Drosophila melanogaster: one gene and its partners. The protein of the gene in region 4 interacts with the protein of the main gene of each other region in a pairwise test. Each region holds a gene or a part of one and is shown on either strand. Other genes may lie near its edges.

Region 1 (6,981 bases), on a different chromosome or scaffold from region 4:
TTCGATTGTTTAGTTCAAGTTTTCTATCAATTTGTGTGGCAATTTATGTTAAGCTTAAGCTTAAGATTAGTATTTATGTTTTCAACGATTAAAACATTCAATTTTGTTCCATCGTAACTAGTCGTATTCTCTTCAACTTGAAGATGTTTCTTTCAGTAGTATACGCAAACAAATGAAGTGCCTTTTATTTTTCTCCGTGTGACAGGGAATTAAGTGGCCCAAACCACAGGGCTAATCAGAAGGCAAACACTCAAACCCCATCGATTGCACTGGGTGCTGTGGAAATTAAAAACGACCTGGAGCAAGTGGAAATTAAATTGCCTGCAGTTAAAAAACACTTTGCCCAGCCACCAGTCACAGTACCAACAATGTAATAAAAGTCATCTTCTGACACGCCCACTCCACGCGCCCCGTCGGCGATGTTCCCAATCCCGGCTGCTCCAGCAATGGCATTTGCATACTTTTAAGCGCAGATGAGCAGAAATCACTCATACGCACGGGTGGCCCATTAAAGGGGGGTTGACGATGGGGCGGAGCCAAGGCCCACGGCTCACGGTTCAGGCTCAATCCAGCTGTCGGATTTTCTTGCTACCGCTATTATGACGGTATTTGCATTGTGTTTAAACGTATTTGAACACGATTTTCAGTCAAGGGGATTGGATGAGTTGGCTTAGTTTGGGGGTAACCGAAATGAGCAGGCAATTTATTTACGGTCAAATTGCGAGGTTAGGCAAGGCAAACAAAGCGGCGCAGGTCGCTGCGCAATGGGATCCCCCCGGATCTGCCATTGTGGGCGTAAAAATGTGATAAATATGAAATGTGATTATGGCTGCTATTATGTAGCACCCAGCCAGGATGATGATGAGGCTTATTATGGAGTTGCCTTCGTGTTGGCGAATCTGTGGTCGCCCTCGGCGTCGTTTTGAGTGAGTGGCTGCCATGGAACTGTCTGTCTTGCCATTCTGGATGCGGTGGCTTCCTTGGGTAAATGAAATGGGGAAATGTGATTTTGACGATGTGTTCGCTTTACGGCAATGGAAGTTCATATGGGTGGCGCTTGTTTGTTTTCGAGGGCGTCGGAAGTTGTAATTGTTTTTTAAAGGAAGCCTGAATTGCTCATTGGGGAAATGCACGAAATAAATCAAGACGAGTGACTATAAACGGGATATCTCGGAATGGGCGGTAAAATAAAACTTGAATTGTCTTCAAATTTTTTGCCTCAGCCAGGATTTTGGCAAAAAGAACTGAGCTAGTGAGATGTCTGTTAAAATCAAGACAATACTTGCGGCATCATGAAAATTATTACCATTATTATTAGGAACTTAGATTAGAAATGTTGATAGATTTGCACACGTTATTACTCCAATATTATTGATAATAAGCTTTTATTTTAGGTGTTGCTCCTTACAGGCTTACCACCTTGTACCCCAAGTCCTTTTATCTCTTCACCTTAATGCTCCACACCAATTTGCTTACATTAACTTTCCCAGCAATTGTTTTCCACCCCCCACTCCAGCCATGTGAAAGGAGCTTGGAAAATGTCTTTATCAAGTGGCAAGCAGCGAACACAAAGCCATAAAATGCTAATCCCATCATGGGAACAATGAGCAGAGCGGATCGGAGCAGAGCGTTTGCCGTTTAGCGATGCCATCAATTGATACATCAGTCGATAAGGCAGGAAGACGTCCTGTGAGAATCCTGGCTGGCTGCTTGGCTTCTGTGGCACGGGGCTAACAGGATTTGGCCACGCTAAATCAACGCAATTCGATGTGGCTCATTTGAGTGCAGCAACGAGCCAAGGAAATCGCTGGGGGAGCAGCCACCACCCAAGGAATTCGTTGCGCTTTGTAGGAATTTGCTACGCTACAAATTCGAGGCTCATGGGAACTGAATTCCGGAGGGTTGGCAAGTGTGGAAATATTGAAATTCGAAATACATTTTTGCCAAAAACTGCACTAGTACTCCGCGATGATGGGTTATCCTGGAAGCTCGTCGTATTCGTCGCGCCGTCTAAACGAATGACTGCCTTTTTTGGGCGCAGGACAACCCCGAAGTATCCTTTCATCTTGTTACAATTTCGGTTCCCAGCTCATTAGCGTCGGCGTCGCAGTTTTTGTGGCCGCATCTAATTGCTGCATGCGGCCAAAATGAATACTGCTGAATCGCAACTACAGAATTCACTGCCTCACTGCGCTAATAAGTTGAACATATTCTTCGCTCTACTAACATGGCGTATGTTACTTTTGGTACCCGCGAAAATCTGGTGCTTTTTCTGGTCCTGGGAGCCTATGTTTTCGGTCTACCTCACAATCGAAATAATGGGTTGTCCGGCCAGGAATTCAAAGAACTCCATATGCTGCCAAATCAAGATATCTTCGTCTTCTAGAATCCCTGGTTTGGGATTCTTTTTTTCAAAAATTAATTGAATTTTAAGCTCGGTTGTCTTTTGGGATTTCTTATTAAGGTGGCGTCTATATAAGCTTAATCACATTATTTCGAAAGCATAGACAACTCATTGGCTTTTGTTTAAGCTTTTCAAAAATATTTGATTGCAATAATCCTCAAGCTCATTTTCATAACATGATTTTAGAATACTTCAGATCTACTACAAGATAAAATTTCCCATTAACCCAAATTTTATTAATAAAACGTGATTACTATTGAATTGGCATAACAATTAGATTTTTATTGAAACATTCAGCCACACATTGAATTTGCAACTTAGCCATAATATCTTACAATGATGAAACTGAAGATCCTTTCGGGTCCTTCGATAAGAAAGATAATTAATTGAGATACAGGGAGATCCAGTTACATATTTAAGATACAAATTGCACTACATTTAAAGCTAAGGGGAAATTAAATCGGAGCGTGGGGGAAACTAAAGTTAATATCACAATCGAAAATGGGCAACGGGTTTTGTTTTTGGGGAGTTAGTTGACTTGATGACTTAAAAATATCCGAAGAAATGCTTCGATCATTTGGGCATACCACCCATTCGGCGACCTGGCGGTGTGCCGCCGACCACGTTGATGATCTCGTTGTCACCGGCAGATGAGGATGAGTCCTCCAGCTGCGGCTGGTGATCACTGGCCTTGTCCTGGTGGGCGGTCATGTGTCGCGTTAGATGGTGTCGCTCCCTGAAAGTCTCCTGGCAGACGGGACATCGGAGTTTCTCCTCCCGCTTCCGTCGATTTGGATCGCAGGCCACTTCGCTTTTGTGATGGGATCGCATGTGATACACCAGATCACTGGTCATCCGGAAACTTATGTTGCACTTGGCGCACACATTCTGAGCGGTCAGTGTAAAAGTGGATGCCAATGTGGGTGGAATCAACGTGGAGAGAATGGCTGCTGCAGCGGGATTCTGGAGAGGTTGGGATACCGCGAATGGATGTGGTGGCGGAGCAAATCCGGGATAGGCATGCAGGAACTCCGACGGTGGACCCGGTGGTGAGTTTGCCTGCATAGTAGGTCCTCCTCCATTGGGATTTCCAGGTCCTGGTGGACGGGTGTACAACAACTGCTGCTTAAGGCGCTGCTGTGCCTGCAGAGCCTGCATGGGATTCACCGCCTGGAAGGCTCCGTTGAACTGATACTCCGGTCGGAAGTTGTGGTAGACTATGGGATTTGCTGGCAGGGGATTTGGATTCTGGCCACCGCTATTGGTTCTTGGTGGAGGTGTCACCAATGGTGGACTTATCGAGTGACAGCTTAGCTGATCGGGACTCAAGGGCGGAGCTCCCGCATCCACGGGTGATTCCAAACGTGAAGTGGTCGATGGTGAGGATGATGAAGTGGACAGCGACGAGGAGGCTACTTTGGTAAAAGCGCTGCGCATGGGCGGTGGTGGTGAAGAAGTTGATGGTGCCTCTGGAGAATCCACCAGGGGTATGACCACACTGGGATCATCATAAACCCGCGGCGAACGGATGCTGATCTGTGGATACCGCTGGCGTGCCTCCAACAGACTAATGTACTCCAGTGCCGCCGGCGAAGGTGGTTGCGAGGAGGTTCCTCGAGGAGACAAATCTGTGGGATAGTGGCTCATCTGCTGCTGCTGCTGTTGGTGGTGATGATGGTGCAGTGCCTCTTGAAGGCGAGCCTGCTTCTCGGCCTGCTTTTGCTTAATCCGTTCATCGGGCATCATGAGGAAGGCCACATCGAAGGCGCGTTTAAGAGTGGTCTTTCCACCCGGTGGCGATGTGGGTGTCTCATTGTTGTTATTGTGATTAGTGGTTTGATTTTGCTGCGGTGACTGTTGCGGTGATGTGGAGATCCTAAGCTCGGCGTGCTGAGGCGGCGTTGGGCGACGCTGGCCAGGATTCGCGTGCGACGGCATGCTATCCATGAGCAGATTCATTTTCACTTCAATACACTTTTCGACTTTCACTTGGCTCTGGTAGGGACTTTGGGTCTTTGGTTCTATACAGTTCCTTGCGATTCGAAATTCCAGTTTCGACTGCTGGCCGCCCGCAATCTGTTCCTCTTTAAGTACCCGCTGCCACAACCACCGCGTCCAGTTGGAATTCTCGTATTCTCATATTGTCCCATTCAATTGGGAAAAAGCAACTCTCCGCACTCGCGGCACTTGGCCCATCTGTCCTGATTCTGCTCGGAGTCTGTTCAGATTCAGGTCCTGCAGAGAGCACCACCCTTATGTTCCTGCTCTTGCTCTTTCACTCCCGCTTGTCCTCTCTTTCTCCAGCGGTCTTCTCTCTCTTTCTTTGGCCCACTCTCCGTCTCTCCAGCGTTCCATCTGCTTTGCCAGTTGGCGAACATATTCTGTGGTTTTATTGTGCGAGTCCTAGCCAGGACGACTCCTGGTTGGCTAGCATTCACGGACAGGTTGGCTTGTTCGAAAACCTTGTTGTGCTGTATGTGATGCATTGGTACAATGGGCAATGTTGTTGTTAAAGTTGTGTGATATTATTTAAAAAACTTAATTGATTAAACTTAGAAGGATTTGAAACTAGGGTCATCTATATGAGAAGTTACTCTTATTCATTCAAAAGAGTTGAATATCTTGAAGTAGTTGCGCTTAAACTTCATTAGGTAAATGTTTTCAAATATTTTACAATAAATAAAACTTTTTCGCATGGTTTCCATTTAGATTTTTACCAAAACATTATATTTTACTAAATTATTTTCCCTGTTCCGCCCACTGTGCACTCATCTCTTTTCGCAAGGAGGCGGTGCTTGATCCTGGCCGCTCTCTCGCTTGCTCTCTCTCTCGATTTGCCTCTCACACCCACCCCGAAAATATGGCAGGACCTGCCCTCTCTGTCTGGCTCTATGCCCGTCTCTGTCGGTGGTGATGTCCTTGTTGCAAGTGTTTCCGAACAGGTTGTTTTTGTCGATTTTTTAGCAGTTCCAGCGAGATTGTGTGAATATGTGGCCATGTTTTGTGCTGGTGTATTTGTTGCGTTTGTTGCTGCTGGCTTGGATTTTGAGTATATGCTGCGCGTAGCTTTTACATATTGCCAACTACACACACACACACACACACACACGCTCTGGAATTGGGGTTCCCCCGTTTTGTAGGCGACTGTTGAGCGTCGAAATCTTTCAACATACCGAAATATTTATTTGTCAGTTAAGTTAGCGCTATGTGGAAAAAGTGGCAAGTGCCCAGTAAATATGCACATGCAACAATAGCAAATTGTGCAATGCCTTCCGTTCGTTTTCCGTCTCGTTCTGATCCCCCGTTTATTTCCCTTTTTTCCGGCTAGACCCTAGATCCTGGCAGACCGGATGCAAGGATGTGGCCATTGCCAGGACAAAATATGTGTCTGTTATGGTCAGTCGTGAACAGGGTTTGCAGCTATGGGGTGTATGTATATTTTATTTAAATTTTCGACTCTTTTGTTGCACTTTTTGCTTGCAGCCATGTGGCTGCAGCAGCGGCAATTTAATGTTTGCATATTTTCAGGTGCTAATTGTTCCACTTGCCATATGAGTTGCATTTTTAATTAATATTTATAGCCAACAGCCGAGTGTGCGAGTGTGCGTGTGTGTGTGTATGGGTGCATTTGAGTATCTGTGTGCTGGAGCCTATAATTCGCATGGTCGCCATGTTGGCTGTCGACGAAATTAATATTAAACACATGATTGCCTTCCAACATGGCCATTTCATTAAAAATATTGTTTAGCTTGTATTTAATTAATTGCCGATCGAACAATGCAAGCTCAACCCATGGGCTGATGTGATTTTAAATTGATAAATAAAATGGGATATTCAAATGTTTGGTGCAGTTGATGCTTAAAGCTTATGGAAAATCATTTTAAAATATATAAGAATTAATTGGGTTACCCAAGCCTATTAAATGCTGGAGTCTGAGTAAGTTAAACTATATCTGATCAGTTATCTTATCTTACATCGGACCAATTTCCTCAATATATTACTTATTGTCACATCTCACCAGAAATTACCCCCATTTCAATTGGACTCTCACATATGTGACACGTGTGCACAATTGAAGTCAAGTGAAAATCCCGAACACATTCTCAGTTCATTGCAGTAAATATTTTCAGCGCAAACTAATGAAAATCTCCGATATACAAATCGAGCACAAAATTTCCACTAAACCCAAAGGCTTATCTACCCCTGCTGATCTCGCTCTATTGCTAACTAGATGATTTTGTCTTGTCACTGAGCCAGGGGATGGAACTTTAGGTGGGTTGGTTGTTTGGTTTAGCGCCTGTCGATACATCAAACTGCCAAGTGACAAAGTGATTGCCCCGTTGTCAGGCCGAGACAAAGCGCAAAAAGGCGTGAAATTGCCTTTGTGTGATTAAGTCGAGACCGAAGGAAATGCGAGCAAAAGCGAGGAAATGTCCCAGGAAGCAAATTAAAAACTAAGATGGCAATCTCTCGACTCAAGTTTAGACACAGCTACGTGCTCCTTATGCCCGGGCATAGCATCCTCGCCGGGTTTCAATTATCCTTGGTAAGATAGCAAAATGTAAATGCTAATTGCT
Region 2 (6,777 bases), on a different chromosome or scaffold from region 4:
GGCGTAGGATGACTTGGCGCACAGTTTCGTGTGACACAGTTAGGTGACATTCTTCCCTGATATCCTGAGCAAGTGATCTGACCGAGATTCAGGGGTTCGCAATCACTTTTCGCATGATAAGGCGGTCTACTCGCTTGTTAATTTTGGTTTTCCGCCCACCACCACTCTTAGGTTCAAGCCTGCCCTCTTTTTCCGAGCCTTTTAAAACATTGTAGACGGTCTTACGGGATACAGGAAACATTTATACTAATTCTGGAAAAGATTTTCCCAACTGGTGGTTATAGTTTATTAATTGGGTAACTTCAAAAGTTAATCTCTTTCCAGGCATTTTATTAAATTTAATAATTCGCTTTAAGCACGTTTGATCAGCAAAATTTCACAAGCAAAGTCAACAAATTTCAATAGAAGCGTTGTAAAAAGCAATGCAAAGCCAAAAATAACGGAAAAATCGAGTTCGTTCTAAGAAAAAGAACAAAACAAAGTAGGAAAACAAAATGTGTAAAGAGTTTCTTGACAGTCTCAAAAGTGTGTAAACTTGGAATTTGTTGTTTATTTTCTTGTATATTTAATATTTTTAATTTGTTTTTTGATTTATAAGTAAAATAAATATTGTTTAATTATATTTTATAAAAAAAATTGCGTTTAATTAAGCAAAAAACCCTTTATTTTTAGCTTTAAAGTCAAAAATTCAACTTATTTCACAGTGTGTAAACAGTTTCTTGACAAACTGTATGTATTTTATTTTATAGGGTAACCCGTCAAATGCTTGATAAAGTATACCTCTATAAATGAAAAGAAAAAAGAAACCAGATTCGTAAGTAAATGAAATGTTTCTGAAAATATTACAAATCTAATATAAACTAAAATCTTGTTTCTGTTACATTGAATAAATGCTTTTTTCTCGAAGACCTGTTCATAACAACCGGTGCAAGCACACCTGCGCAGCTGTGCGTGGCGGTTCTCCACAGAAGGTTCTTCAAGAAGCTCTGGACTAGTGTAGTCCGGAACTGTGCAGAAACTAGAACTATGCCATCAAACCCACCCAAAGAAGCATCAAATCGGGAACCAAAACAAACCGTTGGCAGCAGCAGCGTCGGTGGCAGAAGGAAGGCAGCGGACAGCAGCTTCCCAGCGCCAGCAGAGACGTTGACGTGACGGTGGCTGTGACGTCGCCGACTCCCGCTGCCCGCTGCCAGGAGACGGAAACCTGTGGCATTGCTGCTGGCTCCACTTGACTGCAACTCCAGCTTTCCAGCCACCTACTTGCATAATCGAAAGCGGATGAGGTGCAGCGATTTGGCCGAAAATTTAAGGTTCGATCAACGGCCGTCGAGGGGGTGGGGTGAACGGTACATTTTGTTGGTATACTCATGAAAACGAAACGAAAGCTGCCTGGTCGGTCTCCGGTATGTACAGTGGGACTCTGAAGTGTTGACACAGCTGTTCTAATTTGTGCTTATCTATTGACCTTTCCAAAGCCCTATATTTTAATTTTCCGAATTCTCATCCTATTCAATATTAAAATAAAATCCATAGTTTCGTCTAAAGAACTGAGCAACTTATTTATTTTACTAATAAATACGTATTTATAACCCGTGCCAAACTGTTTTCTGCCACTGTATGCTGTATGCATGTATACGTGTGTGAGCAGCGCACATCGCAGTCGCAGTGTACGAAAATAAACGCTGGCGCAAGCAGAATGGCTGCGGAGCGAGCGAGACAACTACTGCGACGCGACGGCAAAGTACAGCAACTTCAAAAATATCGACTGAGCACAGTCTGCACACCGACAGAGCAAGCAGGGCCGCAGTCCGAGCGCCCGAAAGGGGCGCTCATTTTAGAGCAGATCTTTACAGATAGAAATTAACCTAGGTTTAATTACTAATGAACTGTATTCTAAATGCAACCATATAAATGCAGTAAAAAAAGTTCGCATAAAATGCAATTTATGAGCGGTGCAGCCCGCGCCCACCCTCACACGTATAGATCCCCCCCTGCCATTTCCTAACCATCAGCCAGCTACTGCGCCGCGTCGCCGTTCACTTTTGCGTCGTTTTCTGTCGTCGTCGTCGACTGACTTGTCCCGCCCCTTCGACCTGCGCCCGCACAGAATTAATCAATTGGCTGGGGCTGGTTGGGGCACGGACCGAAGACGGCTGACAGAAAGCAGAAAACCCGTAGCCAAAACCAGCCGAATTTCACTTACCAGGCACACCGAGCGTTTCGGCGATTTGTTTCCAGGTCTGGGCCTTGCGCACAAAGTGCTTGTAATTGTAGTGCGACCTGTCGTATATCACTGGGTTCAGCTTGACAGCCTCGATGAGATTGAGATCAAACTGCTGCTCAAGATTGGCATCCAGCTTGTCCATCTCAATGGCCGCCGTGAGGGTATGCACTGAGGGGACAAGACGGGGAAACAAGAGTTACAAATTTAGCGGGGACGAGACGGACGTGGACTGGGTCGGATCCCAGTTCCAAACTGGGCACACGGGCTCCCGCAGCCGACGACACTCACTTTGCTTCTTACGTTTGCTAATTGTTGTTAAGTATTTGGCGCGAACGCACGCTCTGTTTGTTTTTATTTTGATTGGTTTCTTCTACGAGGAAGGAACGTCGACGTTTTAATTTTATTTCTCAGTCGCGTCTCTGCCAACGGTAACGGTACGTCCCAGCTCAGTCGCGTCTCTGCCAATTAGGGGTGGGAAAACGCCGATGAAGGGGTCATCAGCGCATCGATAATTTTAAAACTCTCATACAATAACAATATGTTATGGCGACTATCGATGTTTCTGATATATCACAACAGCTGCGTAAAGCGTCAAAAGGCTTAAAGTTTTACCATGTTAAGATTTAAGATGTTAAGATCATAATTCGTTCCGAGTTTAGCTCGTTTAAAGAAGGAAGCGTACGACTATCGATAGACGGAGGGCCACCCTTATTTTAGAGGCGCCACCTTTAGGAAATGTGCGGCACCTTTGGCCAGTTGGTATATTGTAACGGTTCGTCTGCGGTCACACTGTTTCTGATTAGACCAAATGAAACAAATGGCGGCACAAAAAGCCTGGACGGATGAGGAGCGTCTGGAGCTGGCGGCCCAGCTGGACGCGGAACTGGATGCGTTTATCGATGGCCTGGAGAAGAAACGTTACGAGGAGGGCTGGCCGGAGGACCGCTGGCAGGAGGAGATGGACAAGCACCCGTTCTTCATGAAACGTGCTCCTCAGCCAGGGGATGACGTGCATCCGATGTTCGAGGGTCTGCAGAAGCTCAAGTACGATCCGGAGGAGAACACGCGCGACGAGCTGGCGCTCAACTACAAGGAGGATGGCAACTTTTACATGAAGCACAAGAAGTTCCGCATGGCAATCTACAGCTTTACCGAGGGCATCAAGACCAAGACGGACAATCCCGACGTGCTAGCCGTTCTCTACAACAACCGCTCGGCGGCTCACTTCTTCATCAAGAACTACAGATCCTCGCTGAGCGACGCCCAGCGAGCTCTGTTCTACAAGCCAGACTACACAAAGGCCCGCTGGCGGTCGGCACAGTGTGCGTACGAGCTGGAGAGGTTCGATCTGTGCACCCAGATGTGCGAGGAGCTGCTCGAGGTGGACGTCGACAACGAGGTGGCCATCGCGCTGCTGCACAAGAACAAGATGAAGAAGGTTAGAATACGTGATCCAACTGGATAGGAACCCACATTAAACAAGTTATTTCCGTAGCTCGAGATAGAACGCAATCAGCGCAAGGAAGCTGCCGAGGCAAAGCGACGGCTTACACGCTTCCACAGACTCCGCGACGCCATCGAGCAGCGCGCCATTAAGTTTGACGATCAAAAAGTTGGCAAAAAGGACGTCCTCAGTGAGGAGCTCCTTTATCCAAAGTTTCTGCCTTTGGAGGACCATCCGGTGCACCTAGACGAGGACGGCAGCACTCTGATCTGGCCGGCTGCGTTCTCCTACCCCGAGTTCCTGTACAGCGACTTTTATCAGCAGCTGCCGGAGACCACCACCATGCGGGATTGCCTGGCGACGCTGCTCACCGAAAAGCTGCCATACGACAAGGCACACAACTACCGCCTGGGTAACGTGCACGTTTACTACGAGAACCGCAAGGTGGGCTGTGTCCACAAGGTGGACGAGGAGAAGCAGCTGGCCGAGATAATCGCCGAAAAGGGGTTTTTCGTTTCCGGTGGCGCTCTGCTCTTCTATGTGGTGCACAAGGATTCGCGAGTGGAACAGGAGTTTATAAACGAACGGCGACGACCCATGGTTTACAGTTAAGACAGTGAGCAAATAAAGTGATTCCTTCTTGAAAACAAACAAACACCTTTTCATTTGCTTGTAAAGTTTACTTCATTTTTGTGGCATATTTTATTTGTAAGCTTATGGTTTAGTCACGGTACAGTTCAGCATTGGTTATGCTATCTTGAAGCATTTTATTGTAAGTTTAACTAATCTCTGATATGTTATGCGAAGCCGAAAAGCGTAGTTCAGGCTACGCCGCCAAAAAATATCTGATGCGGCGTAAGCCCATTTTGGTAGACGATTAATCATCTGTAGAATTGAAAATTGTTTAGCTAAATTTAGTTTTTCTTTAACAACAAGGCGCCTAAATGAGTCAACAATGTGGTTTTTGGTTTAATACGTATAAAAGCGTTTTTGTAAATTTTCATAATTGAGCATATTCTTAGACATTCATCGTTGGTTCACAACAGTAGTAATACTAGGGGACCCCCCAAGTGGATCCGGATATGGTTCGTTAAAATACATTTGACAAAGCAGGATGACCATACATATAAGGCTTAATACTAAGTGCATCGTGGGAAAGCGTATTATATACTCGGATAACATAATAATCAACTTGTCGAACTAATCAGATCACATTCACAAGAAACTACAACATAAATAGCGAAATGGTTAAAAAGCAGTTTGTGTCCACAGCGAAGTGTTAAACATGGTTACGGAAAACGGAGAATCCATTTTAGTGCTGCGGCGAAGGTGGATTTCTCTGGAGGACACTATTGAGTCTCATCTTCAGCGGCGAAAAGTCAATTTTCTTGAAGCGTGGTAGGGAGGCGAACTTTTTCATGGTGCCTCCCTCGGGCTGCAACTCATTGGACGTGGCCACAGACTGAATCATGGGTTCCAGACGCGCTGGTGCGGGCAACGCCTTGCTGGGCGAATGCCCGATTTTGGCCAGCGTCGCATACTTTTGCAAAAGACGACTAGCCTTTTCCGCCGCTTGAAAGCGATCCTCGTACTCCTTCTCCAGATTTGGCTGTACAAAGCATTCGTTCGCTACGGGAAGAGCAGATGCTTTCGCCTTGCAGGAATCCTCAGATGCTTGGCTATCATCAAACTTAAAGTCAATGTTCTTCAAAACGGTCAAGTGCAGCAGTTCGTCATCCACGCCTTCATTGTTATTGTTATTGTTGCTTTGGTGGGTATTGTTGCTATTGGTGCTGTTCGGACGCTTTACCGGATGGGTGACTGCATAAACACTGTCAGAAATTTTGTGGGCGGCAGTCTTTTTGGTTGAGCTTTTAGTCTTGGCTGATACTGATGCTGATGAGATGGTGGCCGCCTTGTGACGCTGCTCAATGATTTGCTGGGGCGAGGAAATGTAGAGGTTCTCCTTTCGTTCACGTCGCAACTTGGAACTGACTAAGTGCCTAAAACTAGGTCCATGTTCGGTGGGACTGCGTCGCTTTGACTTGAGTGTGTCGCAGCTGTTCGGATAATAGGAGGGTATCTTGTCGTCCACACTGATAATCGACTTTCTTGGTGTCTGGTAGTAGTTTTCCTCCTCTGGCTTCTGTTGCAAAGTTTTGTCCTTGGGCGTTCCCTTTTGCGGCAAGGCCGGCGCCAGGGGAGATTCGGTGGGTGTGCTTGTGCTCAGTCCAAAGCCGACAGGCTGCGCCTCCAGCTCCTGTGCGGCCTTCACAGCCAAAAGGTTCTCGTAGAGGTGTTCCGCAAATCCAGCTGCAGCCGCTCCGACGGTACTGTTCAGAGAGGTTCCATGCATGACTTCGTATATGTCACTCTCATTGGCGATCTGCGTCTTGGTGGGCTGGTCCTCCGTGTTACAGCTGCTGGTGGAGGAGCAGTAGGAGCCCGTGGAATATCCGGAGGATGTGGACACTGTACTGCCGCCTGGCTGTGGTGGCAAATCTTTTACCGTCGCCTTTAAAATGGGTGCCATTACACAGTATCCCGTAAGGTCTTCGTGCAGTATCTTATTTTTCTTTAGCTGATTACTCTGCGGAACAGCTCCATGCGATCCAATGAGATTGATGGTTGACGTGTTACAAGCGGAAAAGTTGAAGTTGTACGGAAGTTGCTCCGAAACATTCAGACTTTCCAAAGAGTCTGCTTTGCCCAATTGGCTAGATATTTGCGCAATAATCTCATTGCGAGAGATCGGCTCAATGACCGACTCATCCAGACTAATGTTTATCTCCATGCTCGACTCATGGTTCTGGGCCTCGAAGTATTCTCCAAAGGTGTCCAGCAGATTGAGTTTGGACAAGTCCGGACTTGAGAAGCTATTACGCTGAGACTTGTTCAACTGGGATGTGCGCTTTACCGGAAGCACAGGCTCCGGCGTGGGGGCATTCTCATACAGTGGCAGGACCTCATCGCTGGGTTCATTGGCCACCTCGCTGGTGCTGCCGGAACGCTTTTGACGTGAACTCCCGAACAGGTTGTCCAGCATGTTCTTGTATTTCTTCTTCTTGGCCAGCTCCGATTCGGGATTGGTGCTGGACCGCGCAAT
Region 3 (7,571 bases), on a different chromosome or scaffold from region 4:
GTCGGCCATGGTGGTGTGGAGCGAGCTTACCTTCTTCAGTCGCCACCCTGTGCTTTCCATATTCGCCAACGTTATCTACGTGGCCAAGGAGAGCTACGACTTCTTTACTATTGAAGTCTTCTCTATGGTTGTTCTATGCTACTTCTTCTACTGCACTTACTCCACGATCTTGAGGATACGCTTCCTTAATCTCTACTACCTGGCACCGCATCACCAGACCAACGAGCACAGTCTGATCTTCAGCGGCATGCTGCTGTGCCGTCTGACACCACCCATGTGCCTCAACTTCCTGGGTCTCATCCATATGGACACACACATTATTCCCAACGTGAGTAGTAAACATGTTCGTAAACACTGAATTACTGAAAATTTATAAACTATTCCTCAGCGCATTATGGAGACGGTGTACACGCAGATCATGGGCCACATGGATGTTATTGGCATCATCTCGAACGGCTTCAATATCTACTTCCCAATGTGTATGCTGGCCTTCTGTCTGGCCACTTGGTTTAGCCTCGGCAGTCGGGCACTGAATGCTCTCGGCTTCCAGCAGTTCCTGCAAAACGAAACTATTGCTACCGAACTGGTGCAGGAGGGAAAGGATCTTATAGCGCGGGAAAAGCGCCGCCGCCAGCGTGCCGAGGAGGCGATGGCCAGACGCCGTGACTTCAACCGAACCGATCAGGTTCTGGGCAGCGATTACTTGAGCAAATACCGGAGTGGTGGACCCGGTGGACTAACCAGTAGTCGCACGCCCGCCGACGGGCTGCTGCGCGATGGCGACGGCAGCTTTGACTATGCGGCAGTGGCTTCTTCCTCTGCACTGGGCGTACCGCGATCCCTGTCGGAGGAGATCAACGACCGTTTCGGTGTGAGCACTCAGGTGCAGGTGGGATTCCGAGACCCCGACTACGAGGCGGAGACAGATGGTCGAATTGTCGGCCCACCACCCCGAGGACTCTTCGACGATGTCTAGACTTTGGATATGGATAACTCTTTATTTCAATTCGTTACCGAGTATCTCAATATTTCGCTCGCGCTTAAGTATTTCCCGATGCCACTGCTGCTGCTGCTGTTCCTTTACACCCATGTAGACCATTCAGTTGAATAAACCACTAAAGAGGATTCTTATCCATCTTTCGAAGGGAGTAGCGCGGTTCGTTGCTGCTCTCCTGGCTAGTGTCCAGACCACTATCCGTGCTGGTGTCCTGCGCCTCCACGTTCATCGAGATGTCCGTCTCCGATGAGTAGCTTGAGCTGATTGATTCTTCTAGATCAACATTTGTGCTATCCTGGTCGTCTTCCGACGTCGGTTTTCCACTCTGCAGTTGCGATATGGGATGCGGATTTATGCGCTTTCGGCCGCGCAGATAGCCACTGCGAGAGGTAACTGGAGTAGTCGGAAAATACATCTTGGTGCCTTGACTTCAATGACTTGAATGACTTGAATGATGACGGCCTGTCAGAAAGGAAAGCTGTCACTTTCGTAAGGCAACTCTAAAAAATGATTGCCAACAAAATATAGATTTTCGATATTGAGCGCTTAGCCTCAAATTCAATTCAATCCAGAATATTTATATATTAATGTTTAGGTTTATGCAATGCCTTTTGAACGGTATAAAAATATGCAAAATGCTGTTGGTAATCTTGTCTGCTTATAAATCAACATTTATTCGTAACCCAGAAATCACAGCAATTGCAACATGAGCTTAACAAAGGTGGACATATTTCTTCTGTACGTGTGTGAATGATAAATAATCGAACAGTGAAGAATCCATATAGGAAATATGTACAACCGACGGGCCTCGAAGCACAATATGCTAAGGCCCAAAGATCCAATGTGTTGTGCCTTCCTAATGGGTTCCCCTGCTAGCCTGTTTTGGTGTTCATGTGTGATCTTGAGTGGGAAGTTAATCCTATTATTCATCGCCGCCACCCTCTTCGTCTTCATCGAATTCGCCCTCCTCATCGGCAGTCGCCTCCTGGTACTGCTGATATTCAGAAACCAAGTCGTTCATGTTGCTCTCGGCCTCTGTGAATTCCATTTCGTCCATTCCCTCGCCGGTGTACCAATGCAAGAAGGCCTTCCTTCGGAACATGGCGGTGAACTGCTCCGAAACCCGTTTGAATAGCTCCTGAATGGCGGTGGAGTTGCCAATGAAGGTGGCCGACATCTTGAGACCTCTGGGCGGAATATCGCACACCGCTGTCTTGCAGTTATTCGGGATCCATTCCACGAAGAAGCTGCTGTTCTTGTTCTGAATGTTGAGCATCTGCTCGTCCACCTCCTTCATGGACATGCGGCCACGGAAGATGGCGGCGACGGTCAGATAGCGACCATGTCGCGGATCGCACGCAGCCATCATGTTCTTGGCATCGAACATCTGCTGGGTCAGCTCCGGAACGGTAAGGGCCCGGTATTGTTGCGATCCTCGCGAGGTGAGCGGTGCGAATCCGGGCATGAAGAAGTGCAGCCGGGGGAAGGGTACCATGTTCACGGCCAGCTTGCGAAGATCAGCGTTCAGCTGGCCAGGGAAGCGCAGGCAGGTCGTCACACCAGACATGGTGGCCGAAACCAGATGGTTCAGGTCACCGTAGGTGGGCGTGGTCAGCTTCAGTGTGCGGAAGCAGATGTCATACAACGCCTCGTTGTCGATGCAGTACGTCTCATCGGTGTTCTCCACCAGCTGATGCACACTCAGGGTGGCATTGTAGGGCTCCACCACCGTATCGGACACCTTGGGCGAGGGCACCACCGAGAAGGTGTTCATGATGCGGTCCGGGTACTCCTCGCGGATCTTCGAGATCAGCAGGGTTCCCATGCCGGAGCCAGTGCCGCCACCCAGCGAGTGGGTCAGCTGGAAGCCCTGTTGGAGAAAAGTAGGGTAAACTTTTTCAGATAAATTCCCAAACCCCCAAAACTTACCTGAAGGCAATCGCATCCCTCGGACTCCTTTCGCACCACATCCAAGACGGAATCCACCAGTTCAGCACCCTCGGTGTAATGACCCTTGGCCCAGTTGTTGCCTGCTCCCGATTGGCCAAACACAAAATTGTCCGGCCGGAAGATCTGGCCAAAGGCGCCAGAACGAACCGAATCCATGGTGCCGGGCTCCAGGTCCACGAGAATTGCGCGTGGCACATACTTGGCACCGGTGGCTTCATTGTAGTATACATTGATGCGCTCCAGCTGGAGATCACTATCGCCGTAGTACGTTCCGGTCGCATCTATACAGTGCTCATCCGAGATTACCTCCCAGAATTTACCACCGATCTGGTTACCGCATTGACCGGCCTGAATGTGTACAATTTCACGCATTTTGATAGTAAAGTTAGGGCCCCTTTTTCACACCGAAAAAATGGTACAAAAAAAAATCGAGCTTTTAAAACAGTCTGAGTGGGGCAAAAATCGGCAAAAGACTGAATATTTAAACGTATAATTTTTCAGGTTTAGATTTTAGTCGTGTACGTGCTAGCTGATACTGAGGTGAACTGAACCTGGCTTGGATTACTACACCGAATGTTCACAAATAGGCTACTACGATTTCCGACTTCGACACATTTCACACACCCCGATTTCAGAAAACTCAGTTCTCCGTTTTGAGCACAAACTTTAATAGTACTTACATAGATAAACGAATATACGGCTAAAATTCGAGATGGGATGGATTTGGCGGTGCCTTGGAAGCAATAGAGGATTCCAAGGCTACCGACCAGATGATACGATTGATATTGACATGGATGTCCTGGATTTTACTCCTTTGTAAATGTTTATATGGGTGTATAATGGGATGGGTCGATTATTTCTTAAGCAAAAACTGCCTTTTAAAGACTATTAACCTTGCTCTCCAAACTTATATGTATTATGACCCATCCTGGTTTAAAAATCTACGTAGGGAGGAAGGTTTGTCTAACAACCAAATTTTGGCGGCGGATGGTTCTCTACAGGATTGTAACTACGATTTGGTGATCCATTGGCTCTGGCTCCTACAATGAGGAGTCCCACAGCTGGCTGTACGGATATCAGACGGAGGCTCGCTTCAGGCACAAGGTGCTCTCGATAATGTCGGTAGGCTGAAAGTCCGGGTCCACGAACTGCTCATGATTCAGGCACCTGGTGCCACCCATGCAGGTGCAGGAACACAGGGAGGCGGTCTCATCGTTCTCCGTTGTGTAGTTGTTCTCCAGCAGCTTGCCGTGCATATTGTACGTGGACTCATCATCGAAGGTCACCGGCTGGGCATTTCCAGCCAAGTTCTGAGCATCCTGCTCATCTCTCTTGGCATCCTCTGCTTGCCTGTGATTAAAAATCCATTAAATAAGATATTTCCTGCAATAGAACATGGACTCACATGGTCATGAATCGGAGCACCAATAGATTGATACTGGCGGCCACCACGGCCAAGCCGAATAGGATGAAGACCAAGCTCAGCGCCACATAGCCAGGCTTATTAGTTAGAGCTTGGTCGTTCTGCAATGCCACATAATCGCCGAAACCAATTGTCGTCAAGGTGACAAAACAATAGTAGAAGCTATCGAAGTAGCTCCAACCCTCGTATCGGGAAAAGACTGCTGCTCCAGTGGTGATTATTATGGAGGAGAGCATTCCGGTGGCCAACATGAGATTCATTTCGGTGGCATCCGTACAGCGAGCTCCACTGGCTCTCTTTGCCCGCCTTATTATCACGGATGCAAACTTATTCAGACGTTCTCCGATAGACTGGAACATCACCAGACCCAGCGGGATGCCCACCTAATAAGGGAATATCTTTAGAAGACTGGAAATTGGGATTGTAAGTTCACTTACCATAGCATAGCCCATACAAAATGCTTTTCCCGGAATTGTAACTGGCGTAGAATGACCATATCCTAAAGAAAGTTACAACAGAATTATAATCTATTCAATAAATCATATTTAATAGATAATTAATTTACCTATCATTGCCAGTACAACCGTGCTGAAATAGAAAGCTCCAGCGAATTTCCACTGAGGTCCGGCCTTGTGGGGCTTATTTTCAATGATGACGATTTCCATCACACGGAAATCCTCGTCAGTCACATTGTACTTTCTAACAAAGTTGTTCTTAACGGCTACAATTGATTAAATAAATTCATTACTAAGAAATTAGGTTAATAAATCAACAAGCTTCTCACTCTGTAGGAATTCCCATCTTTTGGCCTCCGTTGGTGACTCCAGGGAATCGAACACGGCGGCTCCAATTAAAAGATAGGTGAAAGTGCATACCACCAGGGAAAGGGTACGGACATTCTGTCGCTTCATCATATAGTCTCAAATATAATCACTACGATCTATAATCAATTAATATATTTTGCACCACGCGCCTTTTTCGTTCAGTTAAAGATGCTGCGTCTGACAAAATCGATAGTTGTCAGCAAAACAAACACACAGCATCCGCCAAAAATGGTTGATTTCGGTTACAGTGGCCGAATAACATATGATACAATGAATTTTAAAAATTTCATCATTCTTTAAATATGTAATAAGTTTTCTTTTATCTATTGATTTGACCGTTAATCTCAATAAAGGATTGTGATTTTACCGTTAGTTTATCACAACAGAAGCAACAGAATTTGATGGCGTTGCCACTTGGCGGTATCTGTTAACTCTGTACAGCTAAAAAGCTGTAATGTCACGATAACTAAGGATAATAATAATTTTTTTAAAGGATCAATATACACAAACAACATAAGAGTTTTATTACATTTTCTTTAATTGCCTTTAAAGTTTTTGTCTTTCTAAGCCATTTTAACAATTTAACATTTTGCAGTTAGCAGCGCCGATAACTTGACAGCCTATCGATTTTCGGGAAAAGCAAACATATCGCCAGATCTGATTTGTTTATGCTAAAAAAAAACCACGCAAGTTCCAACCGATTGGATTGTTGCAGTTGGCTGCTGTGTCTCTGACGTCGACGTTTCCATGCTTAATTAACCGGAAAATGTTGCGAATACGTCGGCGGTTCGCTTTGGTAATTTGCTCCGGCTGCCTGCTGGTTTTCCTCAGCCTGTACATAATCCTCAATTTTGCGGCGCCGGCAGCCACCCAGATAAAGGTAAATAAATGCTTCTAAATCAATTCGAATGTATAATAACTTCTTTATTTTAGCAGCCCAACTATGAGAACATTGAGAACAAGCTGCATGAGCTGGAAAATGGTTTGCAGGAGCACGGGGAGGAGATGCGGAATCTCAGGGCGCGTCTTGCCGAAACATCCAATCGCGACGATCCAATAAGACCTCCACTTAAAGTGGCTCGTTCCCCGAGGCCAGGGCAATGCCAAGATGTGGTCCAAGACGTGCCCAATGTGGATGTACAGATGCTGGAGCTATACGATCGCATGTCCTTCAAGGACATAGATGGAGGCGTGTGGAAACAGGGCTGGAACATTAAGTACGATCCACTGAAGTACAACGCCCATCACAAACTAAAAGTCTTCGTTGTGCCGCACTCGCACAACGATCCTGGATGGATTCAGACGTTTGAGGAATACTACCAGCACGACACCAAGCACATCCTGTCCAATGCACTACGGCATCTGCACGACAATCCCGAGATGAAGTTCATCTGGGCGGAAATCTCCTACTTTGCTCGGTTCTATCACGATTTGGGAGAGAACAAAAAGCTGCAGATGAAGTCGTAAGCATGCTTTCCCTATATAGTATTGATACAATAATGAATAACGGTAGTTAACCCACAAAACAAAGTGCAATGCCATTTTGCTATTGCATTCCATAAACCTTACACAGTTGTTATGTGCAGCAGTGAAATATTTTACTTCGTTATTGCGTCAAAAGCGTTTAGATAAACAAAATGCATGATCACGCTGCTTGTTTTCCGAAACAGCTTTGTACTTATCTACCTAATATTTATAACCCAAAGCAGAAATAGGAATTGATAAGCTTTGCAGTCTCAACAACTACAATATTTAGTTTTTAACAAAAAATAATAAATTATTTACTTATTTACAGCATTGTAAAGAATGGACAGTTGGAATTTGTGACTGGAGGATGGGTAATGCCGGACGAGGCCAACTCCCACTGGCGAAACGTACTGCTGCAGCTGACCGAAGGGCAAACATGGTTGAAGCAATTCATGAATGTCACACCCACTGCTTCCTGGGCCATCGATCCCTTCGGACACAGTCCCACTATGCCGTACATTTTGCAGAAGAGTGGTTTCAAGAATATGCTTATCCAAAGGACGCACTATTCGGTTAAGAAGGAACTGGCCCAACAGCGACAGCTTGAGTTCCTGTGGCGCCAGATCTGGGACAACAAAGGGGACACAGCTCTCTTCACCCACATGATGCCCTTCTACTCGTACGACATTCCTCACACCTGTGGTCCAGATCCCAAGGTTTGCTGTCAGTTCGATTTCAAACGAATGGGCTCCTTCGGTTTGAGCTGTCCATGGAAGGTGCCGCCGCGTACAATCAGTGATCAAAATGTGGCAGCACGCTCAGATCTGCTGGTTGATCAGTGGAAGAAGAAGGCCGAGCTGTATCGCACGAACGTGCTGCTGATTCCGTTGGGTGACGACTTCCGCTTCAA
Region 4 (8,493 bases):
GCAAGCTTAGGAAAGTGGAACCGGGCTTCTGGGGACGAGCCATTGCAACAGGAAGTGGATCTCGGCCAGCAGCAGCAAATTGAGGAGCTGGGATGGAACGAAAAGCTAGAGGACCTTGGACAGCAGACGCAAGTCGAGGACACGGACTGGAACCAGCAGGCAGAGGATCTCGGCCAGCAGCAGCAGGTTCAGGTCGAGGATGACCTCCACTTCGACCAGACGCAGGGTCACAGCAGCAGCAGCAACAGCAGGAGTCAACCTCTGCAGCAAGCAACGAAGGTAAGCATTCACGAGGGGATTTGACATTGGAAACTCAATGATGGTACTCTTCCAACAGGTGGAGGTGGAAGCCACTTCAGAGCCGTCGTTCTGGGAAAAGCTAAAGGAGAAGCTCGGCTAGAGGTCAAACCAATTAACTGCCATTCATCAACGGACTGTTGTTAGTCAGAACTAAAAAGTTACTACCCGAGAGGAAACTCTCAACTAATACAAATCTTAATATTTTCTACAAATCTTTCTTTAATCCTCTTAGTTTAAGACACAAATAAATGACATTTACTGTGCAGCGAAAATAGTGAACGTACTTAAATACTAGTATGTAGTCTATGGAGAGTAACATTCAAGTTTCAAAATAAATCTTTGGTATCAGTTAAACTTAAAAATTTACAAAATATTTTTCTCTACGTTTTCCAAGAAACTATCAACAAAAACTTAACACAATATAGCAGATATTACACTGATAAAAAGATAGAGTGGTTTTTGTGTTATTTACCAATTAAAAAGGAGGCTAAGGGCATCTGGTCTATAAAGTTTAAAGTAGCTTAAGTACTATAATTTTCAAGTAGGTGCGATTCTATAGACTATTTTTAAAAATTTAACGAAGTCACTTATATAGTGCTCTGATAAGCTCTTACTATATCGAACGCATTTACATTTTTGATTCGGATTTAATCCAAAAAGCACAATTTTGGAGCAGAAAGTAAATATATTGCATTTTTCACTAAAACTAAATGTTTTGGTATAAATCTTTGCAATAAAAATCATTTTCAAGCCCTTAAAGTTCACATATATATAAATAGGTATAGAATTGAGTTATCTGTGTGGCTAATAATGCAAACTGTTTGCTTGATATATCTGTTTTTTTTTTGTAGGAATCATTTTGAGTTTAGGATATTATTGGAGTACTTAAACTTTTGAACTCGGATCGGACTTAGGCTAGGCACTTAAATTTCATAACTTATTAACCTATGTGTCTTATACCAGGTGCAATATGTAATGAAATAAGATATATCTCTTTTGTTCTTATGCTTATCTATTGCAAGTCCTTTCTTCATTAACTAAAAACTTCGATTAATTGCATATTTTATACGACATTTTTACAAACCTAAACAAATCAATATTTAAAATAATAGAAATTGGCGCAAAATTAAAAAATAGAAAATGACAATTCAAACTAAATATATTTACTTCAGACCGTGTTTTTTAATGATTTAAACTTTGATCCCTTGATTAATAAGCATAAGTGCATAGAATAGACTGGAACATTAGTTTACAGATAAAGTCTTTAAGATAGGAAAACTGGTCAGCCAAAATTAATAAGACTCAGATGGCCAGTATTCCTGGCCAATTAAAACGGAAACGGATTTCAATGTGTCTTTCAAAGACGTGCTCTTTACAGGAAACTACAACTGCTCATTAAGTCTGCTATGTACACCTCTTAACCTAATACTATGTGCATGATAGGTCGTCTTAAAGTGATTCCAATCAACTTACATGGGCCTCCAGCTGGGAGTCGCCAGCGAAGTGCGTTGCCCGGAACTGAAGGCCCTCGGTGAGCTCCTCGACCGCAGCTGATTCCATGCTGAGTCCATCGCCAGTCTCCTGCAGTACATGGTGCTTCAATTGCTCGATCTGATGCAGCAACTTGAGCGTTCTATCATCCAGATTGTCATCCTCCAGACGAAGCTGACGCTGCTGCTCTCGCTCCTCGTCCACGTCCCATTCCAGCGACTCTGGCGTGGATATGTGCGACCAGGAGTTTTGCGTAGACGAACAGCACGAGTTCCGCGTGAGCGAACCTCCGTGGCGCTGGCAACTCAGTCTGGCTTGGCGCGCCATGTGTCGTCCTTGGCTGGTGGCCATCGCATTGGCTGCCGCCAGCTGGTCTAAGGATGCGTAGCGCGGCTTTGGTGGCGTTGGTGGCAGCTCCTTGGGCACCTGCTGGCACTGGTACTGATACTGCCGCAGCTGTGAGTACTCGTGTTCCCACTCGAGATCCAAGGAGGAGCTGGCCCGCGAGTTGGCCATGCGCTGGTAGGCTCCAAGTCCCATCTCCGTCTCCCGACTGGGCGTGGTCTGGGCGTTGAGCAACTTGCCGGCGTCCAGGTTCTGCATTTGAATGTCCGCCATGGCGCTGCAAGGATTAAGTTGGTTTTATTTCTAGGAGGCACCTTAGGAGACTTAACATACGTGGTCGGCAGCTTGGCGTAGCTGGGCTGCTGCTCCCAGTACTTGTCCAGGAAGCTGGGACACTGCTGCCTTTTCTTGAGCCGCAGGATGCGGTAGATGAATCCGTTCCGTTGGCAGCGCTGCCTGGTGGTCCTCGATAAGAGATCTGCCTCTGGATCTTGTCTTCCTGCAGATCTGTTCTTTCGCCTAGAAGATGAAAGATACCACTTTTTATTAAAGATGTTTTTAATAATTATTATAAAGTAAAAGCTTTTGTTAACTCTTAAAGAATATCACATATAACTAGTATTTACTGTTTACGTATTTGGTTGCAGTAAGCACCCACTTGGGCGGGAAGCCCGCCTGTGGCACATTGTTTTGTGGCAACCAGCGGCCGTTGCATAGTTTTAGGCTGTTGACCCCCAACTAGCCAATTCCACCCCGTGCTTAGCCACTATTGATTGGTCAGCGGATTTGCGCGCGAACGAAAGTCAGCGGAGTTGAGCTTCAACTAATTGGCCCCACTCACCAGAGCCAGCTGTTGGCCACCCAGGACGTGGGGGGAGTTGTCAGTGAAGACGACGTCGAGGAAGTCGAGTGGGTGGTGGAGTCGGACGTTGAGGTGCAGGCGGAGTGGGCTGGTGCGGCGGCAGCTGTGGCACAGCTGCCAAGGCATGAACCCATGGAGAAGGGGCTGCTCCTGTCGCTGCTACAAGATCCTTGCTGGCTTCGATGCGGCTGCACTTGGCATTTCACGTCACTTTTTCGCCAGCCAGGCGCCACATTTCATTACGCTCGGGTCAAGGCTCCGCGGTGATGGCCCCTTCCCGTGGGCTTTCCGATTACCCTTTTGGACTCCGGAGCCCCTTTCAACGCAACTCCACACACTCCGCGGCACAGAGCGTAACTGTTTTTCATGCGCCGAGTGCGTCGACGTCAGTGAGTGACGGTGACGCCCCCACGCTTTCTTGGCTAAATGCTCCGTAAGCCTAGTGACGGAGTTTCTGTTTGGCCCTGCAGCAGTTGGGTGGTGGGTGGTGGCCACCTTTTGAGAGTCAGCTGTTTCGACTGAGTGTTGTGGCTTTCGCGTTTTGCGCTGTCAAGTGGCTAAAGTCAACAGGAGAGCAAAGCGTCTTGTGACAGGAGCTTTCGTCACTACTTAAAGCTTAGACGGACGCTCAAAGTTAATAAATTCACGGCACGGAGCGCTTTCGACTAGCAGTAGCTTTATCAGGGGTAATAACGGGAAATGTTAGGGTATTGCAGGACCGACATGATGAAGCTTTGCTTGGGGTGTAAAATGGGAAATGTTAAGGCTTGTAGGACCAAATTGTGTGAGCTTTGTTAGGGGTTATAAAGGGAAATGTAGAGCAAAGAAACCAAGTTCTTTTATAAATTTCTCTTTAATGAAGTTTGTATTGCAGCATCCTCTTCTTAAGATAGCGATGTTAACAGCAAGCTAAAGAAGTCTTGCCTTTTGAACTCTGACATTTATGGTCACAGAACTTGGAAATGCGTTTGCAGTCCCTAGCTGTAAATGTGTTAAAGTGCTAAGCTATTATTCCATTATGCCCGCTCAAAGACCAAGTAACAAATGTTCAATGATTAGCGAAGATGAAAAACATGTTTTCACTGTAAGACAGATGAGGGAGTTTTGAGGGATAACTCAAAAATGCTTACACAAGTGATACGCCCTGCTCTATTATGTTCAGAAAGAAATAATACGTTTCTTTATTTAGCTCACATATGCACATACTAATACTGGAAATTCTGCGACCTTTGGCTTTTCTCACATTTTTTCTCTCACATGATGAACATAAAATTTAACCCGCCGCATTAGCTGACGGAACGGATAGTGGAGTGGTGCATTAAAACACTCGGCGGATCGTTGGATTGATTGTTCGCTGTTTTCGGGGCTGTTAGTAGCAGAAAGTGCTGTTTGGCTCTGCAGCCAGGGCTATAAACATATGTAAGCTAACATAAATCACGGCCAACCGCAACATTTGTTTATCTTTTTAACATGCCGCAGCCGAAGTGAATCGCACGACGGGATGCTGCTGCCAGTGTGAAATCGGCTGTCGTTTCGTTCGGTTGTCGTTAGTCTGCGGTACCGCATCCGCATCAGTATTCGCAGTCGCAGTCGCAATCGCTTTTGAATCCCGAACCCGAATCGGTAACGGTATCAGAACCAGAATCGGTTTCGTTAGACGTGCGTGGACGTGGTCTTTCTTATTTGCACTGGCCAAATAGTTTAAAATAGTATTTTCGATTGGCATTAGTGGCGGCGAATGGTTGTTGTAAATCAACTGCTGTGAGTGCTTTTATTCGATATCCCATGCCATTTATGCACCTCCGCTGCCCACCGGAGGAGCTGCTGGCTTTGTGACGGCGTCTGTGTGTCTGCCGCGTGGTCCCCTAATTTAGTTATGTTGCAAAAACGGAGAACGGCAGAGGGAAACATGAAAATCCGTTGTTATGTTGTCTCGCTGCTCTATTTATAAATTGATTTGCTGATTCCTGCCGACATCTGACGCCCCATCCAGCAGCCAGACATTGCCACGGTGAGTTATTAGTTTCTGGAAGCAGGGCGACATCGGATGGAGGAGAACGAAGTTGCAGATGGGGCATCATTGAATAGTGAGTTCGCAGGATGGCCTGTTTAGGGAGCTGCATCTTTTACAAAGGATCCTTCCGAATTGGTTTACATCTGCTGGGAGAAGCTGTGCAGGCAATTGATTGCACTTTGAATGTTTCATTAGCCGGCTTTCAAAATAATGCGAATTGTATGCAAATCTAACTTCAAATTTAATTTTCTTTTTGTTTCATTTATGAAACTAAGTACTAAATGCGTAGCAAATTATTATTATTATTTACATGGCCAATGGCATCCTCGTAAAGACCAATATCTACTTGTTTAAATTAAACCATCCTCTGTCTTTATTTCCAACTTAAATTGTGCGTTTCCAGTTCCCGCGGCACAGTCTGACTCAGATATTTATATATCTTCCTGACGGCCGTCTACGTGGTGGCAATGTGCACCGAAGTGCAAAAGCCGGCTACTATATATGTAAACAAACGTGCAGAAATCTGCAATGATTGTCCGATCGAAAAGATTAATATACCGTGGAATGAAATCGTTTTAAGAGGTAATACGAATTTACGATGCGCTGTTTGCGGTTAGTGTGAAATTGAAGTTTTATGTTCACTTCAGTAATAAATAAACACAATCGTCATTAAAAAGTTAGCTCTAAAGATCGAATCCTTTGGGTGACACAAGCACTTGGTTGAATTCCCTGTGCTGTGGAAAAGAAAAGAAATAATAATTATAATTAAATAATTAATTTCATTTTGATTGATTGATTCGGTTCGGTGTGATTATAGTGCAGAAAGGAAGCACTCCTTTCTCATGCTATACGTACTTTTACCCGAAGAATACGATAGAAGATTTCTGCGCCACGGGCTTGTTGCTATTATTCGTTATTCATTTTTGCGTGTGAAAGGAAATGTAAATTGATTTATTATGCAAAAGCGAGTAAATGCTCCCTAGGAGACGGAAAGACAGAGCAGAAGTCAGACCGGCGGAGCATTCACCGCTGGCTCCTTTTCATCATGCGGCTACATCACTTCGAAGATGTGGGAAATATCCTTTCTGTCTGCGGGGCACAAACATTGCTGTTTACAATGATTTAAATGCATTACGAATTCACGGTCCATTTACATTTCGCGGTTAGTTCTATGGATGCAACAATCGTCGTCGCGTGAAAATACACCAGACAATACATTTTGGTGTACCAAACTATCACGTATTTATGTCATTCATACAATAATACATATATTTTTGACCATCAGTTGGTTGCTTATCAATCAGGTGAACTTTGGGTCATTAACGCTTAAATCTAAAAAACACATTTTATAAGAAACAAAATTGAATCTTATAAGATGTCAATGGTTCACTAAAATCTTCCTCAGCATAACGTTCAAAATCTTTGTTTAGATATCACAACCAAAATGAATGTTAAGTCGGCCGGCTTAGAAATCAATTAAGTTTGCAATTCGGTTTCAATAACCCTTACTTAATGGAAAATCCACAACAGCTGTCCCCAAGGAGGCATTCTAATTGAAATGCATTCATATTGCAATAGAATGAAGAAATTGACGAGACTGGAAGGACCTCCATGGGTTTACTTGACTGCCGTAGCCGGAGTGTAAAACAACAGCTGACAGAGCAAATTGCTTTTCGCTTATGACACGAGCAGGAATTAAAAACAAGGAAAAAATTCTTCTATGCATGCATGCAGCAAAACAACCACGAAAAGGAAGCTGATAATTCTGATGGTGACGATAACGTTGTCCCTGGCATTTGAACGGATTTGAGGTCGTTCGGAGACTTAGGGTTCGTCACTGCTCTGATATCTTCCTAATGCTGATCCTCTTTATTGAAAACTCCTTAATCCGTGAAAAAGATGCAAGCCAGGTGTGGGTCTGGTTAAAATGGCTCATAAAAATCTTAAGCATAAAAAATGGTGTGTCCGCTCGTCTGTCCGTATGTATGATATACAAAATCTCTTCAACTATTATAAATTTGAAAGCTTAGATTAAAGTTTATAAGATATGATTAAGTACGGTTGTAATCAATAAGCCGTGTAAAGGGTATGGGATAGCCGTGTAACACGAAAACAGGTCTCATTCCTTGCGGTAAATGGAAAATTGAGCAATGACAAATTAAATGTACACTTAAGCCTAAAAGCATGAAGCCATGTATAATTTCTTTTTTTTATTAATATTTTCATCAATAATGGCAACCTATAATTTCTCCTCATATTTCAGGGGTAGCGTGCATAAAAGCCAATCGCAATTAAACGTTGATCGATTCCAAAAGCAAACACAACATGAGCCGGAATATACTGTAATGCTGCACAATATTTGTACGCAATAAATAATTAAGTTTTCTTAATTGAAAAGCTAAACAACGGTAAAAAAAAGGGGCATCAAACTTACAGCAAAATGGCATACCACCTCGAAGCGATTTCTTCGTTTCTGTATGTGGGCCTTGGTTGCCTGATTGCCTCCTCTGTGGCACTAAGTACAGATACTGGAAGTGAAGGCAACGCCGGTAACGTCGGTGGCTCAACCCTAAATAATGGTGAGTAAAAATAATATTTAGGAAATTAATGTTATGTCCTTTATTATAATTATACTTATTGTATCACGAAAGGAAAACCAAAAAATTCTGTTTAAAATTATACTTCATTCTATAGCAAACAATATAGTTAAAATGTTTGCTGCAGATTGCTCTTTTTTGGGGTTTTTAAATGCAGGGAACGATAATAATAAGTATTTGTATTAATCAAATAAATGGACTTAATATGTGCAATCATCATTCTCTTTTCAATTTGTAATTTATCCGGAAAAGTAAAATATTGGTGCACTAAGCTTTATTCAATTAATGGTAAATAATGATGATTGTAATTTTAAATGATGTAAACAATTCGATTTTTATCATAATCAGATATTCTGCGCTATTTACTTATAATAATAAGGGTTTTATGGTAAATAGCATGGTCCACCTATTTATTACTTTTAGTGTATAATATTATTGCTGGGGGTTGTGTGATTTGACTGAACTCGACCATATCATGTAAACATATCATTTAAGAATGAAAATGCATTAAACATAAAACGCCTCGTTTGATTCGAAATGCTCTCAAAAGGAGCGCGAAAAAATGTAAAAGAACAAATAGTCGAATAAATCTGCACAATCTGCTCCTCAAGTTTGCGGCCTGCAAATGTAATTTTCATTAACGTTATTAATATTTTCATTGCTCAGTATTTTACGTAGCATACTTCCTTTCCCACTTTAAATACCCCAGAACCACCCGCTGGTGGGACTTTCATTGGAATAATAACTTTATTATGACGCGTGTTGTTGTTGGCTTAAAATTTTCATGGCTTAATAATTGCTCATTTCACTTGCAGCTGCCTTTTGTTTGGATTTTATTATATTTGTTGTTATTGTTGTTAACAATTATGAGGGCACTTAAATAA

The links.
Region 1: the proteins of CG13982 (region 4) and CG13287 interact in a two-hybrid assay, tested with the Drosophila melanogaster proteins (one large-scale study listed by BioGRID).
Region 2: the proteins of CG13982 (region 4) and Dpit47 interact in a two-hybrid assay, tested with the Drosophila melanogaster proteins (one large-scale study listed by BioGRID).
Region 3: the proteins of CG13982 (region 4) and betaTub85D interact in a two-hybrid assay, tested with the Drosophila melanogaster proteins (one large-scale study listed by BioGRID).

The regions. Positions count from the first base shown.
Region 1 is NT_037436.4:5,879,789-5,886,769, reverse strand, and holds CG13287 (uncharacterized protein), read right to left. Parts: upstream 4,467-6,981; 5' UTR 4,364-4,466; coding exon 2,978-4,363; coding exon of another isoform or gene 2,951-2,977; 3' UTR 2,680-2,950; downstream 1-2,679.
Region 2 is NT_033778.4:6,658,187-6,664,963, reverse strand, and holds Dpit47 (DNA polymerase interacting tpr containing protein of 47kD), read left to right. Parts: upstream 1-2,845; 5' UTR 2,846-3,035; coding exon 3,036-3,665; intron 3,666-3,722; coding exon 3,723-4,283; 3' UTR 4,284-4,319; downstream 4,320-6,777. Other genes in the region: Adf1 (Adh transcription factor 1), read right to left, coding at 2,207-2,395, 2,516-2,516; sced (scrambled), read right to left, coding at 4,984-6,777. UniProt on the Drosophila melanogaster protein: May act as a co-chaperone for HSP83.
Region 3 is NT_033777.3:9,406,734-9,414,304, forward strand, and holds betaTub85D (beta-Tubulin at 85D), read right to left. Parts: upstream 3,550-7,571; 5' UTR 3,320-3,549; coding exon 2,927-3,319; intron 2,868-2,926; coding exon 1,920-2,867; 3' UTR 1,650-1,919; downstream 1-1,649. Other genes in the region: CG8135 (uncharacterized protein), read left to right, coding at 1-328, 389-976; CG44261 (uncharacterized protein), read right to left, coding at 1,116-1,412; Task7 (TWIK-related acid-sensitive K[+] channel 7), read right to left, coding at 4,024-4,297, 4,353-4,753, 4,808-4,869, 4,936-5,091, 5,155-5,284; alpha-Man-IIa (alpha-Mannosidase class II a), read left to right, coding at 5,961-6,074, 6,128-6,657, 6,990-7,571. UniProt on the Drosophila melanogaster protein: Tubulin is the major constituent of microtubules, a cylinder consisting of laterally associated linear protofilaments composed of alpha- and beta-tubulin heterodimers.
Region 4 is NT_033779.5:6,407,343-6,415,835, reverse strand, and holds CG13982 (uncharacterized protein), read right to left. Parts: upstream 3,522-8,493; 5' UTR 3,133-3,521; coding exon 2,978-3,132; intron 2,656-2,977; coding exon 2,470-2,655; intron 2,414-2,469; coding exon 1,765-2,413; 3' UTR 501-1,764; downstream 1-500. Other genes in the region: Tig (tiggrin), read left to right, coding at 1-279, 338-400; DIP-epsilon (Dpr-interacting protein epsilon), read left to right, coding at 7,453-7,591.